Lonchura striata: one gene and its partner. The protein of the gene in region 1 interacts with the protein of each later gene in a pairwise test. Links are inferred from orthologs where the notes say so. Each region holds a gene or a part of one and is shown on either strand. Other genes may lie near its edges.

The links. The genes of interacting proteins can lie anywhere in the genome.
Region 2: the proteins of MYOD1 (region 1) and ID2 interact in a two-hybrid assay, tested with the Homo sapiens proteins (2 studies listed by BioGRID). The link is inferred for Lonchura striata from reciprocal best matches to the Homo sapiens genes MYOD1 and ID2.

What each region holds. Positions count from the first base shown.
Region 1 is NC_134608.1:48,599,495-48,607,177, reverse strand, and holds the start of MYOD1 (myoblast determination protein 1), read left to right. Parts: upstream 1-4,676; 5' UTR 4,677-4,827; coding exon 4,828-5,382; intron 5,383-6,846; coding exon 6,847-6,925; intron 6,926-7,491; coding exon 7,492-7,683. UniProt on the Homo sapiens protein: Acts as a transcriptional activator that promotes transcription of muscle-specific target genes and plays a role in muscle differentiation. Together with MYF5 and MYOG, co-occupies muscle-specific gene promoter core region during myogenesis.
Region 2 is NC_134605.1:98,358,616-98,365,002, forward strand, and holds ID2 (DNA-binding protein inhibitor ID-2), read left to right. Parts: upstream 1-3,897; 5' UTR 3,898-3,990; coding exon 3,991-4,338; intron 4,339-4,493; coding exon 4,494-4,550; 3' UTR 4,551-4,558; intron 4,559-5,230; 3' UTR 5,231-5,878; downstream 5,879-6,387. UniProt on the Homo sapiens protein: Transcriptional regulator (lacking a basic DNA binding domain) which negatively regulates the basic helix-loop-helix (bHLH) transcription factors by forming heterodimers and inhibiting their DNA binding and transcriptional activity.

The DNA of each region.
Region 1 (7,683 bases):
ATTAGGAGTTCTCATTAGATGAGAACTTTAGAGGTTCTAGGGCATATTTTGCATGTGTCACCAAAGACAGTAGCTTTGTCCAGACTTAACACAGGATGATTGCTTTAATTATGATACAGAGCCCTGTCTCAGCTAGCTCACTAAAGGTATTACTGTGGCACTCCTGCTACTTCTTATATTCCCTATTTGGTTCGAAGTAGGGGCATGAGATCCTAGTGAAAAAACAGCACACTTAAATAGAAGTGCATCAAAGAGAATGGTTACTCATTAGTTTTGCCTTTCAATTAGGGCAGTGTCAGTGAGCTTGGTTCAAGTGCAGAGGTGTCCAAATTCCTCTCATTAGTCCCCTACCAGAGTACCTCATTCTGTAGCCTGGCTCCCAAGGTCACCTAAGAAGAGCAACTGGCCAGATCAGCTGCCTGCAGTTAGGGATTTTTTGTCATTATATACATCTTTTCTGTAGTTGGCATTTGATTAATTGGAAGATTGCCTCACACTTTTGTGTACTACTTTAGCTGATACTCCTGTTTTGCTTAAAAATAAATTCAGTTCTATGTCTGCATCTCCAGTGTATTCCTCAATTCACCACCCAGGCATGCTCATGTTCTTCTCCAAGAGATTTTGTATGTGTACAAAACTGTGCCAGTATTTTTTTGCATCTGAGGAAGTTGTGCATGATGGAAGAGTATGACGGAGTGAAAATAAATGCCAGAAAACTGCATTACTCTAAAAGCACTGCATAATGAAACATTTTTAGTAAACTCTGATAGAGCTACAGTAGCAATTAAGTAGCAATTTCTGCAAAGCCCACCTTCTGTTGGTGTTGTAACATGGGATAGAAATCAATGTAATCAATGCAGATGTTTTCCCAATCTTTTCTGTGAATGTGGTCCAGCTTTGGGGTGGGGATGGCGAACACAACTACATTAAAACAACCTCTGTGTTAATTAATAAAAATACTGCCAAGTGCCACAAGAATGGCTCAAAGCACTTTTAAAATCATGCTAGATTTGCCTTTGTTGAGATTGCTGATCTCTAATACAGCAGGAGTCTAAAAGATATTTCCATCTGGGCTAGATTCCGTCACCCATCCTCATGCTGAGCATACCTTATTCAACAATTAGTTCCACTGACTGCAACTCAACATGAATAAGAGCAATGGAATCCATCCCTCTCAGTGTTAAAATACAGCTCACTAAGTGTGAACAGAGCAAAGCTACTAACTGAATTCTAAACTAGTGCTGCATAAAACTACTTCATGTACTACTAGTAATGTTTGACCTACTTGTACAACAACCTTCACCTTTTAAAAGCTGATGACCCGAAACGTAGTTACAGCTTCCTCCATGGTTTACAGCATTTAACAAAGTCCAACATAACAAATAATACATCTTCTAAATTTTTCAGAGCTAGACTTACTTGACTCTTATTTTCCCATGAAGTAGTGCCATGTCTGTTTCTCAGACTTCTCATGTTCATCTTCTAACCAAATGTAACCACATACTCTGAGGATTTAAGTCTTTTTCTCTCCCTTTTCCTTTGCCAGAACATGTTCTGGGCCTTTGCCTCTAAAGACAATTCTGTTAATTCCAGATAAACTCAAAATCAGCTGTTTCCCCAGCCCCTATCCTCCAAAAAAGAAAAGATAAATCAAGCAATTACTGCAGATAATAAGCTCTCCTTGTCCACATGCTGCTTCTGCTGAGGGGGCATACATGCTTGTGAATATGGTCTCAGATTTAACAATACCTGTCAGTTGTGTACAGGATGAATCTATCCATGTTTTTCAATGTAGGAAGTACAATCTGCTTCTGCCTTCCCAGCTTCCTTTTCAATCACATCCTGAAAAATAATATACCAAGGATGAATGTAGAATAGGTTAAGGGAAACAGCTCTTATAGAAACTTTACAAATTCTCTGCTGAATGCTTGTTGAGCCACACTCTCTGTATCTGTACTACCAAAGCAGTGCCCAAACATTCCACACAACCTGGGAAAGCTCTGAATAGCTAGTGCAGCACCAGTACCCTAAACATAGCATCCAAACTGGAAGATCAGGAGAGACCTAATCTTTACAGAAATTATGATTACAGCCCCAGAGGCTTTCAAAGAGGTTTAACAATGGAATCCTTGTAAATGCTTGCCATAAACACTACCTATGGTTGCCTGCTCTCAGAGTGAGGAATGCCCTTGAAAATCTCCAAGTGGAGATTGTTCTGTCCTTCATCCTCTCCACTGTGGCCACACAAAACTGGGAAGAGCATCTCAGGGTTTGTTCTTTGCAAGAACGTTTTTTTTAGGACTCACTGTACATGGCAACATCTTTCTGGACAAACATGTCTTTGGGAATTGCACTGGAAAGTAGATGTTAGTGGTGGCACCAGTAGGGAATCACAGAATCATAATTGTTAGGATTGGATGGCATGTCTGGAGACCAGCATGTCCAAACCCAAAGGAAGGTGTCCTCAAGGGCACTTTCACTGAAAGACTACTGTGTGGAATTCACTTGGTGGTCACAGCCTTCTCCTGACCTTTTCACTTGAAGGAATTCATGCACTTGAGCCCACACTCATGGGCAATTGTTGGCAAGTTCTCTGTAGTTGCCAACAACTGCCAAAGAGTGGGGCTTTGTCCAAGCCCCACTGTTTGTTACCACTTTGCCCAAGGTAATCCCTACTCACTCAAGTCCCAGAGTGTCTTTTCCTGGGGTCACATATAAGCTACAAACACACTAAGGCAGAATAGGCTATAATAATGACTAAAGATTAGGTAAAATTACATTTTTCCAAAAATTAAGCCAATGGTCTAGAGAGAGTTTAAGTGTCTTGAGTGGGTCACACTGCCAGCACAAAGCCTTCATATCCCATTTTACATGTTCAGTTGTTACAGCATAAATCTCTTTCTCATTTAAATGTATTTTACATTATTGTATACCTTGCACTATTTTCAATACAAATTATTTTTACTTTGTTAGCTGTTCAATAAAGATTTAAAACCAACTATCTTTATTGCTTCTGGATCAAAGAACATCTGTAATAACATTGAAATGTCTCCACAAAATTGTCACTCTGCCTTTCAGAAACAGCTGGGAGATACATTTCTAAATGTGTAGGGGTGGCCAGTAGCTGATCTCCCTCCTTGGGACATATTGCTTTTCAGCATTGGGTACTTTGAAAGAATGAATTTCTACGTATAGCTTTATCTTTAAATAAAACTTTTATCTTTTAGAGATACTGAGAGAATGCCATTTACAGTTCTAATCTTGGTCTGTACTCAAAGATATTTAGGCAAGTAGAAAATGGGGAGTGCAATTTAGGAATTTTTGCCAAAAAACAAATCGTGTAACAACAAAAGAAGCCACCATCATGACAGTCCATCTGAGAAGTCATAGGCACAGGGACTGGGAATTGATCATTGATGGATGTTTTTTACCTTTTGCGATTTTGTCAGTCAGCCCCTTATCCCACTGGAAACAGAGCTTTGCTGCTGATTTTGAATGAGCTGAAATTTTGCCAACATTTATAACTGCAGAACAGAAATTATTTTTAGCTTTTGGGACATTAAATATATGCAATTCTATTTTAATCATTAAGTCAGTGAAATCACATAATTGAATTACTTAATTCCTCTGAGGAGAACCTAATTTCTCATCTCAAATGATACTCAAAAAAACAGAGTAAAAACTCTGTCACCCTTGACAGACGATACTAAAATGGGATGCCATTTCCCCAAGCTCCAAACTCTCCCGCTGCTAGAATATAATCCTTCAGCCGTCCAACTGCAGCGCAACCGCAGCAAAACGCCACGGCGCGACCTGAGATCCATCCCTCCCAAGGCTTCCGAGTGAAGGCGAACAGAGCTGGAAGAGGAACCCGGAATGCCAGCGTTCGCAGGGGTTCCCGAGGCAAGGAAGGCAGGCGCACCGCGGCCACGGCGGCGCTTCCCGCTGGGACAGGCCCGCAGCGCCACCGGGCGGCCGCCACCTGCCCATCCCGCCTGTCCGCCGTGTCCCCGCGTCCCCTCTGCCCGCACCTCCCGCCTGTCCGCCGTGTCCCCGCGTCCCCTCTGCCCGCACCTCCCGCCTGTCCGCCGTGTCCCCGCGTCCCCTCTGCCCGCACCTCCCGCCTGTCCGCCGTGTCCCCGCGTCCCTCCTGCCCCGCACCTCCCGCCTCTCCGCCGTGTCCCCGCGGTGTCCCCGCTTCCCCGCCGGCCCGCACGGCCCCTGCTGCCCGCGGTGTCCCCTGGAGCCGCCCACCCCCACGAACGCCCCCGCAGTAATTACCCTTGTGTCCGTGGAGCCGCGGACAGACCTGCCCAGGGGCTGGGGGCTTTTTCCCTGTGAGGAACCAGCGGAGCCGCCACCGGTGTGTTCGGTGCGTCCCCCCGGGCGAGCGGCACCCGGCACCTTCGGGCATCGGGGCGGCTGCTCTCCCCGGCGCGGCGGCAGGGCGGGCTGCTGAGGCAGGAAAAAACAAAACCCGGGGGAAATGTAGCCCTGCGCGCATCCGAGCGCCCGGGCTGCCGCTGCCCCTGCGGGACACCGCGCCCCCCCGCCGCCCCGGCCCCCGACCCGCCCGGCCGCGCCCCCCGACCCGCCCCGCCCCGTCCCGACCCGCCGCGCCGGGGGGCTCGGCCATAAATACGGCCCCGAGTGGCGCTCCCGGACCGGCGCGGCTGCGGAGGGGTCGGGGCAGCAGCCAGCGCTGGTGGCCTCGCCTGGCAGAGGCTGCGAGAGTCTCGGCTCGGCAGAGCAGCCCGGTGGAAGGCCCCTCCGTCCGAGCCCCTCGCTGTCCCCTCTGGCCGGGCCGCTGTCCCCTCTGCCGCCCCCATGGACTTACTTGGCCCCATGGAGATGACGGAGGGCTCCCTCTGCTCCTTCACAGCCGCCGATGACTTCTACGATGACCCGTGCTTCAACACGTCGGACATGCACTTCTTCGAGGACCTGGATCCGCGGCTGGTGCACGTCGGGGGTCTGCTGAAGCCCGAGGAGCACCCGCACCACCACGGGCACCACCACGGGCACGAGGAGGAGCACGTCCGGGCGCCCAGCGGGCACCACCAGGCTGGCCGCTGCCTGCTGTGGGCCTGCAAGGCGTGCAAGAGGAAGACCACCAACGCCGACCGCCGTAAGGCCGCCACCATGAGGGAGCGCCGGCGGCTCAGCAAGGTCAACGAGGCCTTCGAGACCCTCAAGCGCTGCACCTCCACCAACCCCAACCAGCGCCTGCCCAAGGTGGAGATCCTGCGCAACGCCATCCGCTACATCGAGAGCCTGCAGGCCCTGCTGCGGGAGCAGGAGGACGCTTATTACCCCGTGCTGGAGCACTACAGCGGGGAGTCGGACGCCTCCAGCCCCCGCTCCAACTGCTCCGATGGCATGGTGAGTGCCCCAGGGAGGACTCCCTGCCACCAAGGTGCCCTGGACGCTGTTGGTCCAAACCTGAGCAGGGCAAGTCACCTGCCCTTCCTATAGCAGCTGCCTTCTGTACCTCCCCAGGCAGAAGACAAAGTCCTTTCTCGTGCCTTGAGCACTCGCGGCGAAGGGAGGTGGGGTCCCCACATGACAGGAGTTTTGGGAAAGAAGAATCTCATACACATTTTGTTCCCTGGGATAAGAAGTTAGGCAGGTTCCCCATGTCCTGGAGGAGCCAGGGAAAAGCTGCTGGGGGAGAACTTTGGGAAGCTGCCTGGAATGGGCACCCTGGGGGCATTGCCTGTGATCCCGTAGATCCTGAGGCATCTCTGTTTCCATCTTCTGCTGTATCATTACCTTTGAATCCTCTAAGGACAGCAGAGAGCAAGGGCCCTCTAGGACATGGTAGTTACACAGGAACTGGTAAGAGTCTGGGTTTTGTTTTCTTCCATTCATCATTACAACAGGAGGAGTGTCTAAGCAACAAGAGTTATTTTTCTGGACCCTTAAGAAAAAGATTCTCCATTTCTCTTCTCTCGCACTTCATCCCCTCCATAGATCTTTACAAGCAATAGGAAGGAGAATCCAGGCTTTTTGTCTTGATTGTACATTATGGGCATGGGAGAAGAAGGGTGGGTGCCAGAGAGGGTGTCTCACCCCCACATCTTTTGGCTGGGGCTGTAGGTTCAGCCTCTGGTGTGACTCTGGGCTGGTAGGATGCGGTGACCAGAGTCCAGGACAGCTCTCTGGATAGGCCATGAACTGCCCTTTCAGACCAGAGATTGCTTTTTGTGCTCTGGTGGGGATAGTCACTACTGAGTTGTGTATCTGTGATTATGAAAGACTTAACACATTGGAGAGATTTACACAAATTATTCCTCTTCAAGATACAACCTCTTTTAATAGAGGAATTTCATTGTGGATTAAAGTATTGGAAAAAAAATGCATTAGTCAATTTCATAGAGCACTTTCTATATGAAATGGAAATGGGAAGAGAAACTGAAGGAAATACAAAGGAACAGGGTAGACTGAGGCTTTTAAAGAGGAATTAATGTTTAGAAAAATCTTTAAAAACTAAATTAAAAAGACAATTCACATTTCACACAGGTTTCAGGACACTCAAATCTCTCTGTTGTAAACGAAAGATACATGAAGGGCTGTATCTGATCAGAATTCTGGAAAGCCTCATCTCATTTGTAAAGCTGCAGCATTCGATGCAAGGGTGATAACTTTCCTGTGGAACAGCTGTGCCACATAAAATATCCTGGGGTGGACCCCCTTCTAGCCATGTTTTTCCTTACTCAGAGAATCTACAACTTGATGGCATTCCAGACAGGACTGGAACGATGGCCAGAGCCTGAAATATGAAATTAGATGGTTCCTGGGATTTGGGTAAAAGTCTGATCTCACTTGGATTTCTCTCCTTCCCAGATGGAGTACAGCGGGCCTCCCTGCAGCTCTCGCAGAAGGAACAGCTATGACAGCAGCTACTACACAGAGTCCCCAAATGGTGAGTACATGCCCTAAGGGCGGTGTGAAACACCGAGACAGAGGCAGGCAGTGCAGCAGCTTTCCTGTGCCTGCTCCCTGTCCAGCTGGGCTGAGAGAGAAACCTGCCTTTCCAGCCAGCAAGCCATTGTTGCTGGTAGAGGCACTGCATTTCTTCTAGGTGTATTTGCAAATATGGGGATGTGTTATATCTGTATTTCCCATTTTGCAAATCTAACAGTTGGATAGAAGTATGTTATTCTCTGCAACTAATTTCAGCATTATCTATATTCTACATGAAGACTTCGTACTCTATCATTGATCCAAATTGGAGTAATTTATGACTGATTTCAAATCTGCTCTTCCCTTTCTATGGACTCAGTGAAGCCTTAGATCCTCCCTTTCCCCAGAGCAGCACACTGTGGTTGGACCTCTCTTCCATTTCGAAATTACAATCTGTTTTCTGATAATTGGTGTCCTTCACCAATACTCATTTCCTCTGAGTCTTCACATGCCCACAAATGTGTAGTGCCCACTGATGTTAATTACCCACTGGATAATCTGAGCACTTTTTTGTCTGTTTTTCAGATCCAAAGCATGGGAAGAGTTCTGTTGTTTCCAGTCTCGATTGCCTCTCAAGCATTGTAGAGAGGATTTCCACAGATAATTCCACATGCCCTATACTGCCTGCGGTGGAAACTGTTGCTGAAGGGAGTCCCTGTTCCCCTCCAGAAGGAGTGAGCCTGAGTGATGGTGGAGCCCAAATTCCTTCCCCCACCA
Region 2 (6,387 bases), on another chromosome or scaffold:
CAGGGGACAGGGCCGCGGAGGAACGCGCCGGTCCCCAAGGGGGGCGGCAGCGCAGCCCCGCAGTTCTGCCCGGAGCCCCTCGCCCGCACACACACCGGAGGGAGCCTGGCCGGGGTGACTGTGCGGCCCTGGAGCTGGGCTGAGAACACCTTCAGAGGCGACAGAATAGGCAGCCTTCAAAACAACCATGAAAATACACTCTTTTGGCATGGAGGGGGAGGGAGGGGAAGGGGTGCCGCAGGACCGAACCCCCCACTCTCTACCCCACACCGGAGCCTCGGAAGCGCGGCCCGCTCCTTCCCGCCTGGGTCGCGGCAACCTGGCCCCGCAGGGCAGCCGGGCTGGGGGCGAGCGGCGGCGGCACCTTTCCCCCCGCGTCCATCCGCGATTTTGCCCGGTTTACCCTTCCCTCTCTCTTATCCCCCCCCCCCCCCCACCCCGCCTTCCCACATTCCCTCGTCCTCCCCCCGCGGCATGGCGAGGCGTCCGGCGGCGGCCCCCGCTGCAGGTGCGCCCGGGAGGGGGAAGCGAGGCCGGGCCGCCGCCGCGGGCGCAGCCCCGGTCGCCATGGCAGCCGCCTGAGCGGCGCCGCCGGGCCCGGGCGGCGCGGGCGGGGGGGGCGGCGGCGAGGGGCTGATGTCACGGGGCTGGCGCCGCGCAGTCCGGGCCGGCCCCGGGCGCGGGGCGGGGCACGGGGGCGCGGGGGGAACGGCGCCCCCGGGGCGGCCGCGCTCCCGCCGCCGCTCCGCGCACCCAGCGCCGCCGCGGGCTGGCGCCGGGCGGGGGGACCGAGCGCAGCCCCGCGTTCGTGATCCCGGGGGCGCGGAGGCGAAAGCGGCGCTTTGCGCGTGGCTTCGAGTGGACGCGGTTCCTCCCAGATGTTTGCGGCGGCGGCGTCTCGGGGCTGGGAAGTGGCTGTAAAAGTCCCGGCTGAAAACTAAAGAGGTGGACGCTCGGCTCCCGGGGCACTCGGAGTTGCCTGGGACGGGGCCTGGAAAAGCCCCCGCGGAGCAGCTCGCAGTCCCCTCCCCGGTGGGTTCGGCTCCCCCCCGCCCCGCAGTCCCCCCGGCTCGCCGGGCAGCGGGACCGCTCGTGGGGCCCGAGCGCAGGAGCTCCCAAAGCTAGCGAGCCGCTGCCAAAGCTTTCTATAGTAAAACAGCGGAACTGAGGGAATGCAACGTTAGGGAAAGACTCTTCAGCCGCTCTCCTGGGGAAAGCGGAGCCTGGCTGCTCCCGGGCTCTATTTTGCGTGCAGAAAGCGCATATGACAGTCATTTGCTGACAGAAAAAATAGCCAGGTTAGACTCTCCACACAACTTCCCGGTGTTCCAAAAAGCGTGTTAAGTCTTTGGTGTGGAAAACCGAGAGCAGTAACACAGGATCCTCTGCAGCGCCCGGCCGGCCGGTGCTGCTGCGCTGTCCAAGAACGACAAACAGTGATGGGAGAAGCATGAACATATTTACGTTGGCTATTATTAAAACCAAACCACTCCACATTTCTTCCACTGGTGCCTTCATTAGACAGAAACGCAAGTATGTTGCAGGACCAAAACCAGTGGCCGCTGGTCAAGTTCCACCACCAATTGGTATCTTAGAGATGTAAGGGTTGAAGTCGCCCTAAGTCGTGATTTTGAGTGGGTCCTTAATTGGCAGGATGGTTTTTATTATTATTTACTCTCTGTAACTGCACATGAACAGTGTACTTGTCTTCCTGTCAGATTGAATGTCGAGATTCACTTTCACCCTTCGTGTTTCAAAACGCGTTGAATTGTGTTCCTATCAGCCTCGGCACCGCCTCCAGTCCACCCCGGAGAACAGCCCCGGGGCAAACACCCCGGTGTGACAGTCGCCGAAGTGCCCGGTTAAAAGAATAACCAACCACCAGCTCAGGAATGCCACGTTAATTGGAAAAATAACTGATGTGGCTCTTCGCAGCTTTGTCTCCAAGTGTCCGCAATGTTCCTCTCTTACAGCCCCGACCCCCTTCGTGTAGCTATGCAACAACAGTGCAGATAAATCCAGTATTTGTCTGCTTTTAATATTTATGATTGGCAGCACAATCCTCACTGATTTTATGGATGTATGCGTTCACTACGGTTTTGCTTGCACTGAACACTAACGCGCTTTAGGCATCTGTGTGGTTTTACTATTAGAAAATTGCTGCGATTTGGGCAGAATTTCATTTATATTAGTTGTGTATATACATTCACGTTTTTGTAAGTTGAACTTTCCTTAGGTAGTGTGTGGAATGGAAGGTGGAAGCTGTGTCTTTGTTTTACAGCCCGTAGCATAAGCAAAATATAGGAAAATAAAATGGAACTAAACTTAAAAAAAAAAATCAAAGTCACTTCTCTAGCAAAAAAAGAAAAAACAAACCAGAAAAACCCCGAAAACTTTTTCCTCTGGAATGTTTCTGGAAGATGTTTCATTGGCTGCAACCAAAAGCTGCTAAAAGTACAGCGTGTAGTAAGCATTTGCATTTGTCACCAGAAACAATCTATGCATAATTAATGACAGTACTGTGTCACGAGCACTGATAGGGCGCAGATGAGCAGCTTTTCAAGGGTAATACATGTAAATGCACTTCCAATATGCAGATTTGCTTAATGATCTCCAATTAATAGCATCATCTGAAGTAGCCCTGTTCTCAGGAAGCAGGGCGCTAGAGTGACGCCTGCCTGGCTGTTGGGGTGCTCAGTGTCCCGTTTTCATCAGGACAGAAAGTTGCAGTGGGATTTAAAGGCTTATTTGATCTTTAATCTTGGTTTATTTCATTCCTGCCTACAGCGCTGGCTGCAAACCGGCCATTGACTTTCGCTGCCGTGCGCTAAGCGGGGTCGTGCAAACACCGCCGGGATGCTCCAGCTCACGGTGACCTCGGCACCCCTCGCTGCAGCGGGACCTGCGCATCCCGCACCGCGCTCCGGGCGCGGCGCCGCCAGCCCCGCACACCGGTGCGAGCCCGTGCAGAGATCGGGGCGCGGCGGAGGGGGAGCGGGCACGGAGGGTGTCAGGGGGCACAGAGAGGTGTCAGCGGGCATGGAGGGTGTCAGCGGGCACAGAGAGGTGTCAGGGGGCACGGAGAGGTGTCAGGGGGCACGGAGAGGTGTCAGGGGGCACGGAGGGTGTCAGGGGGCACAGAGAGGTGTCAGGGGGCACGGAGAGGTGTCAGGGGGCACGGAGGGTGTCAGGGGGCACAGAGAGGTGTCAGGGGGCACGGAGAGGTGTCAGGGGGCACGGAGAGGTGTCAGGGGGCACAGAGAGGTGTCAGGGAGCACAGAGAGGTGTCAGCGGGCACGGAGGGTGTCTGGGGGCACGGAGGGTGTCAGGGGGCACGGAGAGGTGTCTGGGAGCACAGAGAGGTGTCAGGGGGCACGGAGGGTGTCAGCGGGCACGGAGAGGTGTCAGGGGGCACAGAGAGGTGTCAGGGGGCACGGAGGGTGTCAGGGGGCACAGAGAGGTGTCAGGGGGCACGGAGGGTGTCAGCGGGCACAGAGAGGTGTCAGCGGGCACGGAGGGTGTCAGGGGGCACAGAGAAGTGTCAGCGGGCACAGAGAAGTGTCAGCGGGCACGGAGGGTGTCAGGGGGCACGGAGAGGTGTCAGGGAGCATGGAGAGGTGTCAGGGGGCACGGAGGGTGTCAGGGGGCCGGGCGGGACCGCGGCGCTGCCACCCCGAGCCCCGCGCGGGCCCGCACAGCCCCGCGCACTATTTACTCCCTCAGCTGTGCGCGCGGCCACGCCTCCCGCTGCCATTGGCTGACCGGGCGGAAGGCCCCACCAGTGAGGGCGCCCCGCGGTGATGGACGTGCCGGCGGCAGCCAATGGCAGCGAGCGCGGGCCGGGCCCGGCGGCGGCCGCCGTATAAGAGCGGCCGCGCAGAGCCAGCCCTCAGTGCGAGCTCCGGCAGCGCCAGAGCGGCAGCGCAGCGCTCCGCAGGCTCCAGCCCGCACGCCAGAACCGCGCTCTCCGCCGCCCGCCCGCCTGCCAGCATGAAAGCCTTCAGCCCGGTGCGGTCCGTCAGGAAAACCGGCCTCTCAGAGCACAACCTGGGCATCTCCCGGAGCAAGACCCCCGTGGATGACCCTATGAGCCTGCTGTACAATATGAACGATTGCTACTCCAAGCTGAAGGAGCTGGTGCCCAGCATCCCGCAGAACAAGAAAGTGAGCAAGATGGAAATCTTGCAGCACGTCATCGACTACATCCTGGACCTGCAGATCGCCTTGGACTCGCACCCCAGCATCGTCAGCCTGCACCACCAGAGACCCGGGCAGAACCCTTCCTCCAGAACTCCTCTGACCACCCTCAACACAGACATCAGCATCCTCTCGCTACAGGTACGAGCGTCCCCCGCTCGCCGCCGAGCTGCGGCGGCGGCGCCGCGGTGCGCTCGCTCTCCGCGGGGCAGCGCCGCGGGGGCCGGGACAACCCGCTCCGGCCTCCCCGGAGTGCTCGGCCACCTCGCCCTTACCCTGCTCTTGTTCTCTCGCAGGCGTCCGAGTTCCCCTCAGAGCTCATGTCAACTGACAGCAAAGCACTTTGTGGCTGAATCAAACGGTGAGTGCGGTGCGCCTTTTTCCCGAACTTCGGGTAAAAAACTGCCTCCCCGGGGAATGGGAGGCGTGATAGCAAATGCTAAAAATAAGTCCTAAAAGTTGATTGGGAAATGCCTTTGTAATCGGTAAGAAATGAGACTAATAACTGAGTCTTGAGGTCCTAAGCGTGTGTGTGTCGCTAAGGTTCACCCTGCAGCACAGGCTCTTCTGATCCTGCTCGCTGCTTAATGCAAATTCTTATCTGTTCTTGGAGCCTTAACTTCCTGGGCCAAAGTGACTGATTAAGTTGGGAATCTTGGCACAATTCCTTGAATTCTGTGATGTGGGATTGTCTGCGCTATCAGTTAAATAAGTGACTGCTTTTAATCAAATAATTGCTCCAAGAGGCAGACTGGCGCCTCTGAGCATTGCGTTTACAGAGATCTAAATAAAGATTGGACTGAGAATCCTCTTTCTAGCCTTTCCCTGGAGTGTATGTTATTTTTATGTTCAATTTGTGCTCTTGAGAGCGAGTGTGTGAGCTTGTATGTGTTGCATCTGGACGCCAGGGTTTGCCCAATCTCTGAGTGTTTGGTTAAATGTTCAAACTGTGGCTTCCTCTCTGGCGCCAGTCTGTCCGGATCTCTGCCCTGTTAGCATTCTCCTAAATACGCCTCTTTTCAATCTCTTGCAGGTGTTCCACTGATGAGATTTTTTTTTTTCTTTTGCACAAGAAAATGTCTACAGGATTTTTTTTTCTTTTTTGAGGTGCTGTATTTTTCAGCTGTACCTGGAGGGGAAAATCCACGTTCAAGTAAAAGGAACTTTTAAAATGAATAAAGAAGAAAAAAATCAAGATTGATCTTTAACCCCACCCCATTTTTCAACTTGGACTGAACCTAGTTATTTATGAAGAGACTCTTAAATACCCTTTCCCTAGTTGGAAGGCTTCCTTTATATACTATTCCCAACGTGGGGAGCGAAACAAAAATTCACAAGGAGTTGCCCATTTTAAAGCAGACTTTGCCTTTTTTTCCAAAGGTGGAGCGTGAGTACCGGAAGGATCCAGTGTTCAGTTTTTTAGGAAAGTCTGTGGTCAGAAATTACCTTTTTGACACAAACCTAGGACTGAATGCTGTGTATATATTTATATATAAATATATATATATATGAGTGAAACCTTGTGAACTCTTTAATTAGAGTTTTCTTGTATAGTGGCAGAAATACACATTTCTGCAAAAAGTGTAATGATGTACTTAATCATGCTAAACTTTTTATAAAAGTTTAGTTGTAAACTTAACCCTTTTTATACAAAATAAATCAAGTGTGTTTATTGAACTGATTGCTTGCTTTATTCTTTGGGGACCAACTGTTGGCTTTGATTTATGTTGTTTTTGTTGGTTTTTCTAATACTTATACCTTGTTATGAATTTATCAAGTAAAAATTCAAATATGTAGAGACTATAAAGAATAAAATTACCTGAAGTGAATAATTCTTGTAACTTGGAAAATCTTATTTGAGCGTATATTGCAATCTTCTAAGTCATCTGCCTGTAAACAGTGTGAAAGGAACGAGAAAAGGAATTTATTACACAAGGGGTGCTATTGACAAAAGTGCTTGGAAATGTACAAAAGCTGTTAATCCTGAGGCATTCCCATAGAGTATTGCTTTTTTTCTTCCCTCCCACCCCTCTGAATGATTCAGTTGGGGTAGTAATGGCCCAGATCTGTTAATTTGTGCTTGGAATAATCACTCAGAATTAAGGGTTGTGGGTGGTTATTAGTGCCCCAACTATTAAATTTCTCTAAAAAGGCTTTGAATGTGAGAGTTGGTGATGCGTTAACATGGGA